2 linked regions of the Oryctolagus cuniculus genome follow. The protein of the gene in region 2 binds, or shares a complex with, the protein of the main gene of each other region. Links are inferred from orthologs where the notes say so. Each region holds a gene or a part of one and is shown on either strand. Other genes may lie near its edges.

The links.
Region 1: ADGRG1 (region 2) and CD81 share a complex: the UniProt entries of both Homo sapiens proteins name them as parts of the GPCR-tetraspanin complex. The link is inferred for Oryctolagus cuniculus from reciprocal best matches to the Homo sapiens genes ADGRG1 and CD81.

Annotation. Positions count from the first base shown.
Region 1 is NC_091432.1:1,171,886-1,177,460, reverse strand, and holds the start of CD81 (CD81 antigen), read left to right. Parts: upstream 1-2,134; 5' UTR 2,135-2,361; coding exon 2,362-2,427; intron 2,428-3,646; exon of another isoform or gene 3,647-3,906; intron 3,907-5,575. UniProt on the Homo sapiens protein: Structural component of specialized membrane microdomains known as tetraspanin-enriched microdomains (TERMs), which act as platforms for receptor clustering and signaling.
Region 2 is NC_091449.1:41,137,221-41,142,030, forward strand, and holds part of ADGRG1 (adhesion G-protein coupled receptor G1), read left to right. Parts: intron 1-2,705; coding exon 2,706-2,791; intron 2,792-3,318; coding exon 3,319-3,741; intron 3,742-4,410; coding exon 4,411-4,543; intron 4,544-4,810. UniProt on the Homo sapiens protein: Adhesion G-protein coupled receptor (aGPCR) for steroid hormone 17alpha-hydroxypregnenolone (17-OH), which is involved in cell adhesion and cell-cell interactions.

The DNA of each region.
Region 1 (5,575 bases), on a different chromosome or scaffold from region 2:
TGGGCTGTGAACACCGCGTATGGCCTGAGCCGTTAGCAGCTCCCCGTGGAGCCTCTGCCCTGCACACAGCCGGCCCCGTGTTCCAGGCCCCACTGGTCCTCCTCCGGCCGCCGTCATGTATGGCCCAGGAAGTCAGGGCAGGCAGGGGGGAGTGCGTGGTCCTGGGGGCACGGGGGTCTCCCAGCCACAGACAGCTCACAGAAGCCAGCGGCAGCCTGAGGAAACTGAGGCAGCCTCCCCAGAGCAGGGAGGTGGCCGAGCAAAGCAGCCAGGCTGCGGTGACCAGTCCTGCCCCCTACCTGGTGCCCCGCCCCCTGCCGATGCTCCGCCTCCGTGCCTGGTTCCCAGCCCCTGTCTGATGCCCTGCTCACTGCCTAGTGCCCCGCCCCTGCCTGATGCCCCGCCCCCTGCCTGGCGCCCCGCCCTCAGCACACGCAGCCCCACCTTCCCTGGGCAGGGTACCCCCGGGGGCTGCGGGAACAGGGGTTCCCAGCCCAGCCACGGCCCCTGGGCGAGCCCCTCCCCTCTTCTCACACAGCCCACCTGGGGGTTTGTCCGCGGGGTCCTGGAACCGGAAGGAAGTTCTCTCAGGCCCGGCCAACTTCCGGTGGCGCCCACCTGTCCCAGAATCACAGTGACACGTGCCCTGTCCTCACTGCCCTGGGCCCCCAGCACACATGAGGTCAAGGGCATGGGACACCCACCAGGCCCCTGAGGTGTCCCCCACCAGCCTACGGAGCCGGGGTTCCACTGTCGGCAGCCACCGGGCCCAGCTACACCCCCAGGCCACCCCACCCCACCGTGACCAAAACGGAGCACCAGCCCATCTGGGCGTCAGGCTCTCATCCCTGCTCGGCTCCGTCGGCCACTGCAGCCTCACCCATCTACCTGCAAGGCTCCTCTCCCCTGTCAGCCCCTCCCCCCATCAAGCATCCCGGCCTGGGCTCCTGGGTGGGGCAGCACCTGTCTCAGGCCCTCCAGGGGAGGGGTCCTGGCTGCCCCCCCAGCCAGCACCTGGCCCAGCTCCTGCCACACAAAGGGGCCAGGAAATGTGAGACGCGTGACCAAGCCAAGGACAGGACAGGACAGGGCGGCCGGGTGACCGGCCTCGGACCGAGGGCTCCGCCTGGCAGGAAGCGTTCCTGGCACCGGGGACAGCGGGGAGCTCACCAGACGCCGGCTCTTCTGGCCCCTCCCACCCACAAAGGCCTCTCGGAGACCAGACGTCCAGCGGGACCTTGTGCCTGCAGCTCACACGTTGGCGTGGGACACAACCACGAGCACCCACCGGCCAGCAGGAAAACCATGGGAGGAGTCAGCCCGGGGAGGACACACCCACGCAGACAGCCCCCAGCCACCATCTGCACGGGGCAGGGGCAGGACTCAGACCGGCCCCACCTGGGTCCGGGCGAGCGCCTGCCCAGGACGCAGCCTCGGGTGCACGTGGGCCTGCATGACCTGCTTGGGGCCGATGAGGAGGGGCCGATGAGGGGCCAGCGCTGGCTGGGGCCTGGGGCCTGGGAGAAAGCACCCCTCGCTGTCCCATCAGTCCCCACTGCCTCACCAGACCCCAGCTGCGAGGGCAGGGCCGGGGAGTGGCAGGGCGGGTGGGTGCGAGCTGCCACGGTGGCTCCCGCGCTGGTCGCGCTGGTCTGGGGCCCAGCTGGTGACCTTTGCCGAGGCTGCTGGGGGCGGCAGCAACGGCTTTCCCTAGCACAGGAACTGGCTGCCGAGAATTCGGGTCCAGACCTTCAGGCCCACCCCTGGTCTGCCCTGGACAGCAAGAGGAGCAGAGCTCCGGTGCGTGCAGAGCCATCCGCCACTGCATCACCTCCACCGGGAGCCCTCGGGGATTACGACAGGCGCCTGAGCAGGGGGAAGGGGAGGTCTTGCTCCCAGACACGTGCTGCATGCCCACGCTCGGGGGACACTCGCCCGGCCAGCGGCTGGGGACGCGACGGTCTCGGGTGACCGGACCCAGGAAGCCGCAGCGCCCTCCTCCCACCCTCACCCCGCCCCCTCTCCCACCCGGCTCTGTCCCGCGGCCGGGGCTCCGGGCGCCGGGGGCGGGGCCGGGCCGGGGGCGGGGCCGCGCTGTCCTATAAGCGGCGCGGAGGGGGCGCGCGCCCGGCCAGAGAGCGAGCGCGCACAGCGGCGGCGGCGGCGGCGGCGACCCCTCCGTGCTACCGGCCAGGCCTCCCGCGCCCCGCGCCCCGCGCGTCCCGCTCGCCGCGCTCCGAGCCCGGGGCTCGCCGGCCCCCGCCGCCCTCCAGGCCCCGCGCCCGGCCCGGCCCCGCGCCCCGGCCCGCCCGCCGCCCAGGCCCGGCCCGCGCCCGCAGGCCGCCCGCCGCCCGCGCCGCCATGGGGGTGGAAGGCTGCACCAAGTGCATCAAGTACCTGCTGTTCGTCTTCAATTTCGTCTTCTGGGTGAGCAGCGGGGCGGGGGGCGGGGCGCGGCCCGCCGAGGGCAGGCGCGCAGGCCGCGCGCTAGGCCCCGCGGAGGGGGCGCGGGCGGCCGTCGAGTTGCGGAGCCACCTGTGGGCTCCGGGCGCGGGTGGGGGGCGTCCAGGGCCGCCGAAGCCCCTGGCGGCGGGCCCGGCGGCGGGGACCTCTGCGTGTCGGGGCCCAGCCCCGCGGCCCGGCGGAGCGTCTGGGTAGGGGGCGCGGGGCTCTGTCCGCTCTGTGCCCGGGACAGGTCGGCGCGCGTGGCCCGGAGCCGCGTCCCCAGCCGCAGTGCCCGGGACCACCCGGCGTGGCGCGGGCGGAGGGGCTTGCCCCGCCCCCATGAGCTCATCGGGGCCACCGCCCCGGAATGGGCCGCGAGGGGAGGGGGCGCACGCTCTGGGCCGGCGCCTGGGGCCCTTCTTCCGCGCCGCGCCCTGAGGGCAAGTCGCCCTCTGGTCCCTGGGGGCAGCGCACCGGGGTTCCTGGGGGCCCAGCGCCCCTCTTCGCTGGCGCTGCGCGTCCGGTCCCGCCTGGCCCCGGGGGGCTGTGGACGCTCGGGGCGGGGAGGGCCCGCGTTGGGGCGGAGGGCGGCACGGGTGCGGGCTGGGGCTCCCCGCTCTGCAGGGAGGGGTCGGCGCGGGCTGGTCCTGGGGGAACTTTCTTGGCTGCCGGGGAGGCGGCCCGTGATGTTTTCGCCTTTTGTTTCCATTTCCTGTCGGCCCTGGAATTGGGGGTGGGGGGTGGAGAGGCCGAGCGCGGTGGGGGGGGGCCAGACGGCCGGCCCCTGCCCCTGCCCCTGCCCCTGCCCCCCGGGTCTGGCCCTTCCTGCAGGGCACTGGGCGCCGTCCTGGCAGGCTCCGCACTCCCCAAGTTGAGGCAGGAGGGTCAACTTTTAGCGCGGGCCCCGGGACATCTGCTTCGCATCTGGACAGCTGCCGGGCCAGCGAGGACCTCGGGCAGGGAGAACAGAGACAGGGCTGCCGGCTCCGGGGACACTGCGCTCCCGCGTGGGGTGGCGGTGAGGCCATCTGGCCGGCCCAGCCTGGCCCTGGGGCCTTGGCCAAAGAGGAGGTGGCATCTGTGTGGGTCAGTGTTTGCCTGCCAGGGCCCAGACGCGTAGGAGGTGACGGGCACAGGGGGCGTCCCTCTGCTGGCCCGGGGAGGGGGGTGACGGGATGGGGGCGGGGCCTCCTCCTGGAGATGTTTGTGCCTTGGGCTGTGCAGCAGTGCCAGCAGCTGGGAGATCTCCGGGGGCGCGCCCCCCAGGGAGCTGGGCCGCTTCCCGGTTGGTGGAGGCTGGAGCACACCCCCCGGGGCGCTGGTTCCGAGGCCCCTCCCGCCCGGCCTGTCCCGGGGGCCCCCACCGGCCTGTCCCCGGGGCCCCCACCCGGCTCCCTGCACTGCAGAGCCCCCTCTGAGCGGGGTCTTCGTGGACTTCCTGGTGGCTGGCAGGCTGCTCGTGTGAGTGAGGGGCTTGGCGCAGGGACGGCTCCGGAAAAGGAGGCTGGGCATGGCAGCCGCCGTGAAGCTCGGCCAAGGAGAGCCGGGCCGGGCCTGGCCCAGGAGGAAATGCCTGGGCGCGGGGGTGCCCGCCCCACGGGGCCTGTTGTGGATGGAGGGCCCTGGGGGCTTGCGGGGGTGTGGCGGGACAGGTGGGCACTGCACGTCTGGATGGGCGCTTTGTAAGATGTTTATTGGGAAGTCAAAGAGGCAGAGAGAGACGCCCGTCCTCTGATTCGCTCCTCAGACGCCTGCAGGGGTCACGCCAGGCTGAAGCTGGGGAAGCCCAGTCCAGGGCCCCGCACCTGCTGCCCTCCCAGGGTGCAGCTCGGCAGGCAGCTGGAGCCGGCTCTCAACCCAGGGCTCCCACATGGGCTGCGGGCGCCCCGGGCGGCATTGTCAGCCTTGTGCCAGGTGCCGGCCCCTGCGTGGGGCACTTTTTAAAAGTCCCATTTCAGGAGCCGCCTCGAGGGGGGAGGCAGCCGTGGGAGCCTGGCAGCCCCGGGGAGGAAGGTGTCCCACAGGTGCTCGTCTTCCTCCCATCGCTGGCCATGTGCAGTGAGGCGTCCTGGCCAGCGAGGTCGTGGGCTCCCCGGCGGCCCGAGCAGAGAGCACCGTGCGGATGCCCTTGGGCTGGGTCCCGGAGCTCCTGGGATGGGGCAGGGGTGCGTAGAGCTGGCCTGCACGGCAGGTGTGACGGTGGCCAGGTGTCCTGAGAGGTACAGCCGGTGGCTGCCTTCCAGTGGCAGATGAAGCCCTGGGAACAGGCGCTCGATTTACTTCTGCCAGATGGCACGTGACCGTCCGTCACCCCGCCAGCGCATCTGCTCCCTGCCTCGGACGGCGACCCCAGCAGGCTGTGTCGGGGGGACTCGGCACGGGGGCGACTGGACTCCCCCAGTGCCCCCACACCGACCCCACGCCGGGGAGACAGCCATTCGGCCCGGCCTGCAGAGGAGAGAGTGCATGGTTGCGCCTGCGTTGGGTCCTCAGCCGGGGAGGGCGGCAGGGCCCTGGGTACCACGGCAGGTGGCCCAGAGCCCTGCCCTCATGCTTTGCTGAGCCTGCTGGGCCTTCTCCTGGCTTTGCCACCGTGTGCGGGTCGCTGGGCAGACCCCAGCCCCGTTTCTGCTCCGAAACGCCATCCCAGGGGAGAGCTTTGGTGGTGAAATCAATAAGGCATAGAGTCCAGGCACCGTGGGAGGGGCGCCCTCGCCCAAGCGGCTGATTCGGGGAGGACCCTGGGTGGGGGCAGGCAGGTGGCCCTTGCTCCGGCCCTGACCCCTGTGCCCCGGCCAGTGAGCGGTGAGGACCGGGTGATCTTCAGCCCCGGACACCCACCTCTTCTGCCCCCAGAACTGGGCTCGCCCGGAACGCACCCTCCGAGGCCCACACCTGTCCAGTGGGATGTGGTGTGACCCAGGGTGCCTTCCAAAAATCTGTGTGGTTTCCCGGGCACCCCCAGCACCGTGCACATCCTCGGTACTGCCCGGCCCAGTCAGAACTCTCCCCCTGGGGCATCCAGTGGGCAGTGGGACGTCCGGCCCGGGCCTCGGGCGGCCTCCACTGGCTGCCAGTGTTGTGGCCATGGGGGTGGCTGGGACGGCTGTGGGGCTGGGGGCACTCAGAG
Region 2 (4,810 bases):
AGGCTGGAGCTGTCCACGCTGCAAGGAGGATTCTTGGCTGTTCCCCAGTTTGCTCCTTCCTGGAGGGAACCCCCGAGGCCAGGGCCGGGGGCTCCATGTCACACTCGCTGGGTGCCGTGGGCTCCAGCCTCAGTTTCCAGATCTGTAAGACGGTGCACAGGATGACAAAGGGGACACTCTTGGTGGCTGAGGCCGGGTAGCTCGGTGGTGACACTGCAGCTCCGGGCGGACGCAGGTCCCTGAGTCCACAGGGACCCTCTGGGGCTCGGCCTCCTTAGCCCGGCCCCTCCTTCCTGGCTGGGCCCTGGGGCGGTGAGCTGGGCCCACAGAGGTGCTGGGTGGGCTGGGTGGCCTCCACCACTGACACAGCCCCTGCGTGCTGTGTGGGCGGCGGCGGCAGCTGTGTGTGCTTGGGGGGGCAGAGCTGGGTGGAGCTAAGGGAACAGGCAAGACAGCCCCCCCAGTCTGGGTCAGAATCCGCTCCCCGTCCCCCGCCCCTTCAGGGCCGGGAAGTGTTCCTGGCGGGGCAGGGCCTTCCCGTTGCACACCGGGAAAGGAAAGGACACTGGAAGAATTTCCCCTGGAGGTGCCGAGGAGGGTGAGCTGGCGCGGGGCGGGGCAGGGCAGCTGACCCCAAGGCCCCTGCTTGAAGCCCTTAGAGGTTTCAATTCATCTGATGGCCCTCTGCTTCACTTTTGTTCCTTTGCCCCAGGGAGGGAAGTGAGGCCCAGAGCAGGTGAGTAACCAGCCCAAGGACACACAGCCAGTAGACAGGGGGACCTGGCTGTGAACCTGGGCCGTCTGGCTCCAGAGTGCGCTCCACTGGCCAGAGGTGGGGTCAGGGGAGCCAGGCCCCGCCCTCTCACCCCCTCCCCCAGAATGCTGATGGGGCCAGAGTGACTGCTCAGATGGCTGGGGGCGTGGAGTGAGGTGGTGCAGCGTCCCTGTGTCCATCTAGTGACGGGGCGCTCACTCCCTGTTCTCGCCTCCTGTGTTCTCAAGGGCCAGTCCAGGGGGCTGATGCAAGGCCTTGCTTCCAGGAACAGTGGCTCACATCTCAGGGCAGGGGGCCAGAGAGGCCCCTGAGTTCCAGCCAACCCCCCCACCCCGCCTGCTGGGGGACATCAGGAAGTCTCTGGTCCTCTGCCTCGACCTAGACACCAGGAAATGGGGACCTGAGGCCAGAGGCAGGGGTCACAGCCAGGGGGCTGCCTGGAAGAGGTGGCACTGGACTGAGGATCGGCGGGGCCGGCCACAGGGGCTGGCAGGGCCTCGTCCCCTGGCCCCAGGTGCTGGTCTGAGGTGGTGGGGGCGGTTGCAGAAGGAATCAAGATGCTTACGGGAGACACAAGCGAAACCCTGGCTACCACAGCCTGAGCCACAGCGGCCCCTCCCCAGAGCGCTTTCATGTCACCTCCTCGGGGGTCCCGGGATGCCACCAGGCCATTGCCCTCTCTGGTTGCACTGATGAAGTCCCAGCAATTGGGATTCCTCAGGGAGGGACACTGGGGCCCGGCTCTTACTTGAGGGCCAGGTTGGCTCGAGGGAGACCTGGTTCAGGAAAGGAGGTCACGAGCTCCTGCCTGGAGCTCCTTTCTCTCTAATGCTGTGTACTTCAAAAGTCACCTCTCCCTGGAAGCCCTCCTTGATTTCTCCGGAACTCATGTGTCACAGGGGGTGCCAGGCTTTCCTTCATCTGGTTTTGTGGCAGATGATTGCATCTGTCACTGTGGTCAGACGCGGCTTCTCACAGGATGGGGATGGCTGCCTGGGTCTGTCGGCACAACTCAGTCACTGGGCCAGCTGGTGGGAGGGCCTGGCATCTGTGAGTGCCAGGCACTGCAGTCCTGACCTAGGAGGGAAAATCCCTGGCCTCTGATGAGTCATTTGACCCCTTGGGCCTCAGGTTCTCCATCTGTGAAATGGACCCACAGTTGTGTCCACATTGAAGGAGTGAGAACCAATGCTGCTGCAGGGGCGGAGTGGCTCGGCGCAGAGGCTGGCGGGTGGCAGGCACTCAGCTCAGCTGGTGGAGGCTGAGCGCAGGGGGCCCCTCAAAGCTGAGGTCGCTGTGGGAGGAGCTGAGCCCCCAGTCGGCCACGGCCTGCTGTGCTCCGGGCCCTGGCAACTGCCTCCCCCTGGCGGCCATGACGGGAAGTGACCTTTCCCTCTAGCCCCTGCAGAGGGCTCCATGGACACGCTGGCCCTTCATTGCCTGCCCCTGTCCACCCCTCCAGCCTGTGTCGGCAGGGATGGACCGGGAGCTCCCTGGCGGGCTGACAGAGGGGTCCTGGCCGAGGCGGGATCCAAGGGAGGCTGGGAGTGACTCTGAGGGAGTTGGGGCGGGCTTCCTGGAGAGGGTGTCGCACTCTGAGCTAGGTCTCGGGAGGGGGCGAGGGGTGGTTCCAGGGGGAACGGTCGGCGCCCAGTTCCAGATAGGGTCACGGTCTCTTCTGGGCCCAGAAACACTTGCTGGGTTTGGGGTGACTTCCACGGGGCTGTGGAGTCGCGACAGGTGACGCTGGGACTCGGGCACTCTCACCTGTCGGTGCTCAGCCTCTGGCGGCTCTGGGGAGTCTGGGCTGTTTCTACACGAGTGCCCGGCCCGCCCCAGCCTCGGGTCTCACGTCCGCGCCGCGCCTCCCTCCCTCACCGCAGGGCTGAGCCGCAGGCTCCCAGCTAACGCTGCTCCTGCTCTGTTCCAGGCCGGGACCGCCAGGCGCGAAGATGGCTGCCCAGGTGCCGCTGTGGAAGGCGCTGTTCGTGCTGAGTGTGCTCTGTCTGGTTCAAGGTCTGCCTTCCCATGGTGCCCCGGGGCCGCTGTGGTGACTTAGGCTAAGATGCCCCCATGTCTAGGATGCCCCTTGAATCCCACCACCGGCCAGCACAGATGCTAACCTGCTGGCCAGGCCCAGGCCTGCAGGCACAGCTCAGCCAGAGGGCGGCACCTTGGAGAAAAGAAGGCGCCTCTTCCCTCCTTTTCTCTGGCAGGTGCAGCCCCACAATGCACAGCAACACCAGTTTCGGCCATGCTTGCCTCTGGAGTGAGCGTCCTTGTGCAGTGCACAGCCTGTACCACTGTCTAAGGTGGCCGTGGCTTCATTAAATACTTCGTTGCTATTAAAAATTCTGCCTTTAAAGTCATTCATTCCCAGTTTGCTCATTTCCTCTCCCATCTCGAAGCCAGCGAGTCTTGAGCAGGATGGAGGCTCACGGTTTTGTAGACCCTGTGAGGTGTAGGCCCTCGTGGTGTGCGAGGCCCAGGCCCAGGGCCCGTGCCCTCCCGCCAGGCCCCACCTGCCGCTTCTGCCTCCTCAGGTGCCCACGGCGGGGGCCCCCGGGAGGACTTCCGCTTCTGCGGCCAGCGGAACCAGACGCACAGGAGCCACCTGCATTACGAGCAGACCCGGGAGCTGCACATCTCCATCAGGAACTCGGAGGAGGCCCTCACCATCCACGCCCCCTTCCCGGCATACCCCGATGCCTCTCGGCCCTTCCCCCCACCCCGGGGCCTCTACCACTTCTGCCTCTACTGGAACCGGCACAACGGCAGTCTGCACCTGCGCTACGGCAGACAGGACTACCCGCTGAGCCGCGAGGCCTCGGGCCTCCTCTGCTTCCGGCACCAGGAGACAAGCCCGGGCCCGGGCCCCCCGCTGCTCGCCACCTCCGTCAGGTCGTGGTGGGACCCCCAGAATGCCAGCTTGCCCAGGGCTGCCACCTTTACCTTCAGGTTCCATGGTGAGCAGCTCGGGCCCAGGCAGTGGGGAGCCGCTGGGGGTGGGAGTGGGGGTGGGGGGGTGTGACCCAAGGTGTGCTTCAGGAGGCCCTGGGGTAAGGGTGGAGGGGCTCCAAGCCCACCTGGAGGCCCCCAGGGGAAGAGGCAGGGAGAGCGAAAGGTGGGACTGTGTGGCGTTGGTCCTGGGAAGTCGCCATCAGCCTCTGCCAGGACGGTTTATCCCCATTCCACAGAGGAGCAAACTGAGGCCCAGGAGGTGGCCCAGAGTTGCCCAGCTGGCTGACGGAGGAGCGGGGATTTGAACCCAGCGGCTGGTTGGCGTGGGGAGGGGCAGGAGGGGAGTGAGAGAGGCTAAAAGGCAGGAAAGCAGGCTGGGGTTCTGGGATTCCTGGAACCTGCAGGAGGCTGGGCTCGCCGTGTGCAGCCAGGGGGTGCAGGGCAGGCAGGGCCCACCCGCCCCACTGGGGCTTCTGTCAGCCAGGGACCCCTCTGGCTGGCCTCACCGCTGACCCTGGGGGTGTGTCTGTTTTTGCTTCTCGCAGCCTCAGTTTCCCCTCCTGTAGAGAGGGGAGAGAGGACACTGGGGGTCAGGCGAGGATTAAGTAGAAGCGGAGTGGGTCGGGGGCCTGTGCCGCCCTGGCCCGGCTCACGTGTGTCCATGCTCTCCCCAGACCCTCCCCAGAAAGCCTCCCACAATGCCTCGGGGGACATGTGTGAGCTGAAACGGGACCTGCAGCTGCTCAGCCAGCTCCTCAGGCATCCCCAGAAGGCGGCCCGGAGGCCCTCGTCCAGCCTCGCCCATAGGTGAGCACACGCGTGCACACACATATACCCCTGTAGGCACGTGCACACACACTTGTGCACACACACATACCCCATAGGCATGAGCACACACATGCATGCACACACATACCCCCGTAGGACGTGCACACACACGTATGCACACACACACGCACTGTAGGCATGTGCACACACACGCATGTACACACACATACCCCATAGGACGTGCACACAGACACATGTGCACAGCCCGGAGCTGTGGGGGGCAAGGGGCGGGGGCTGAAGATCTGA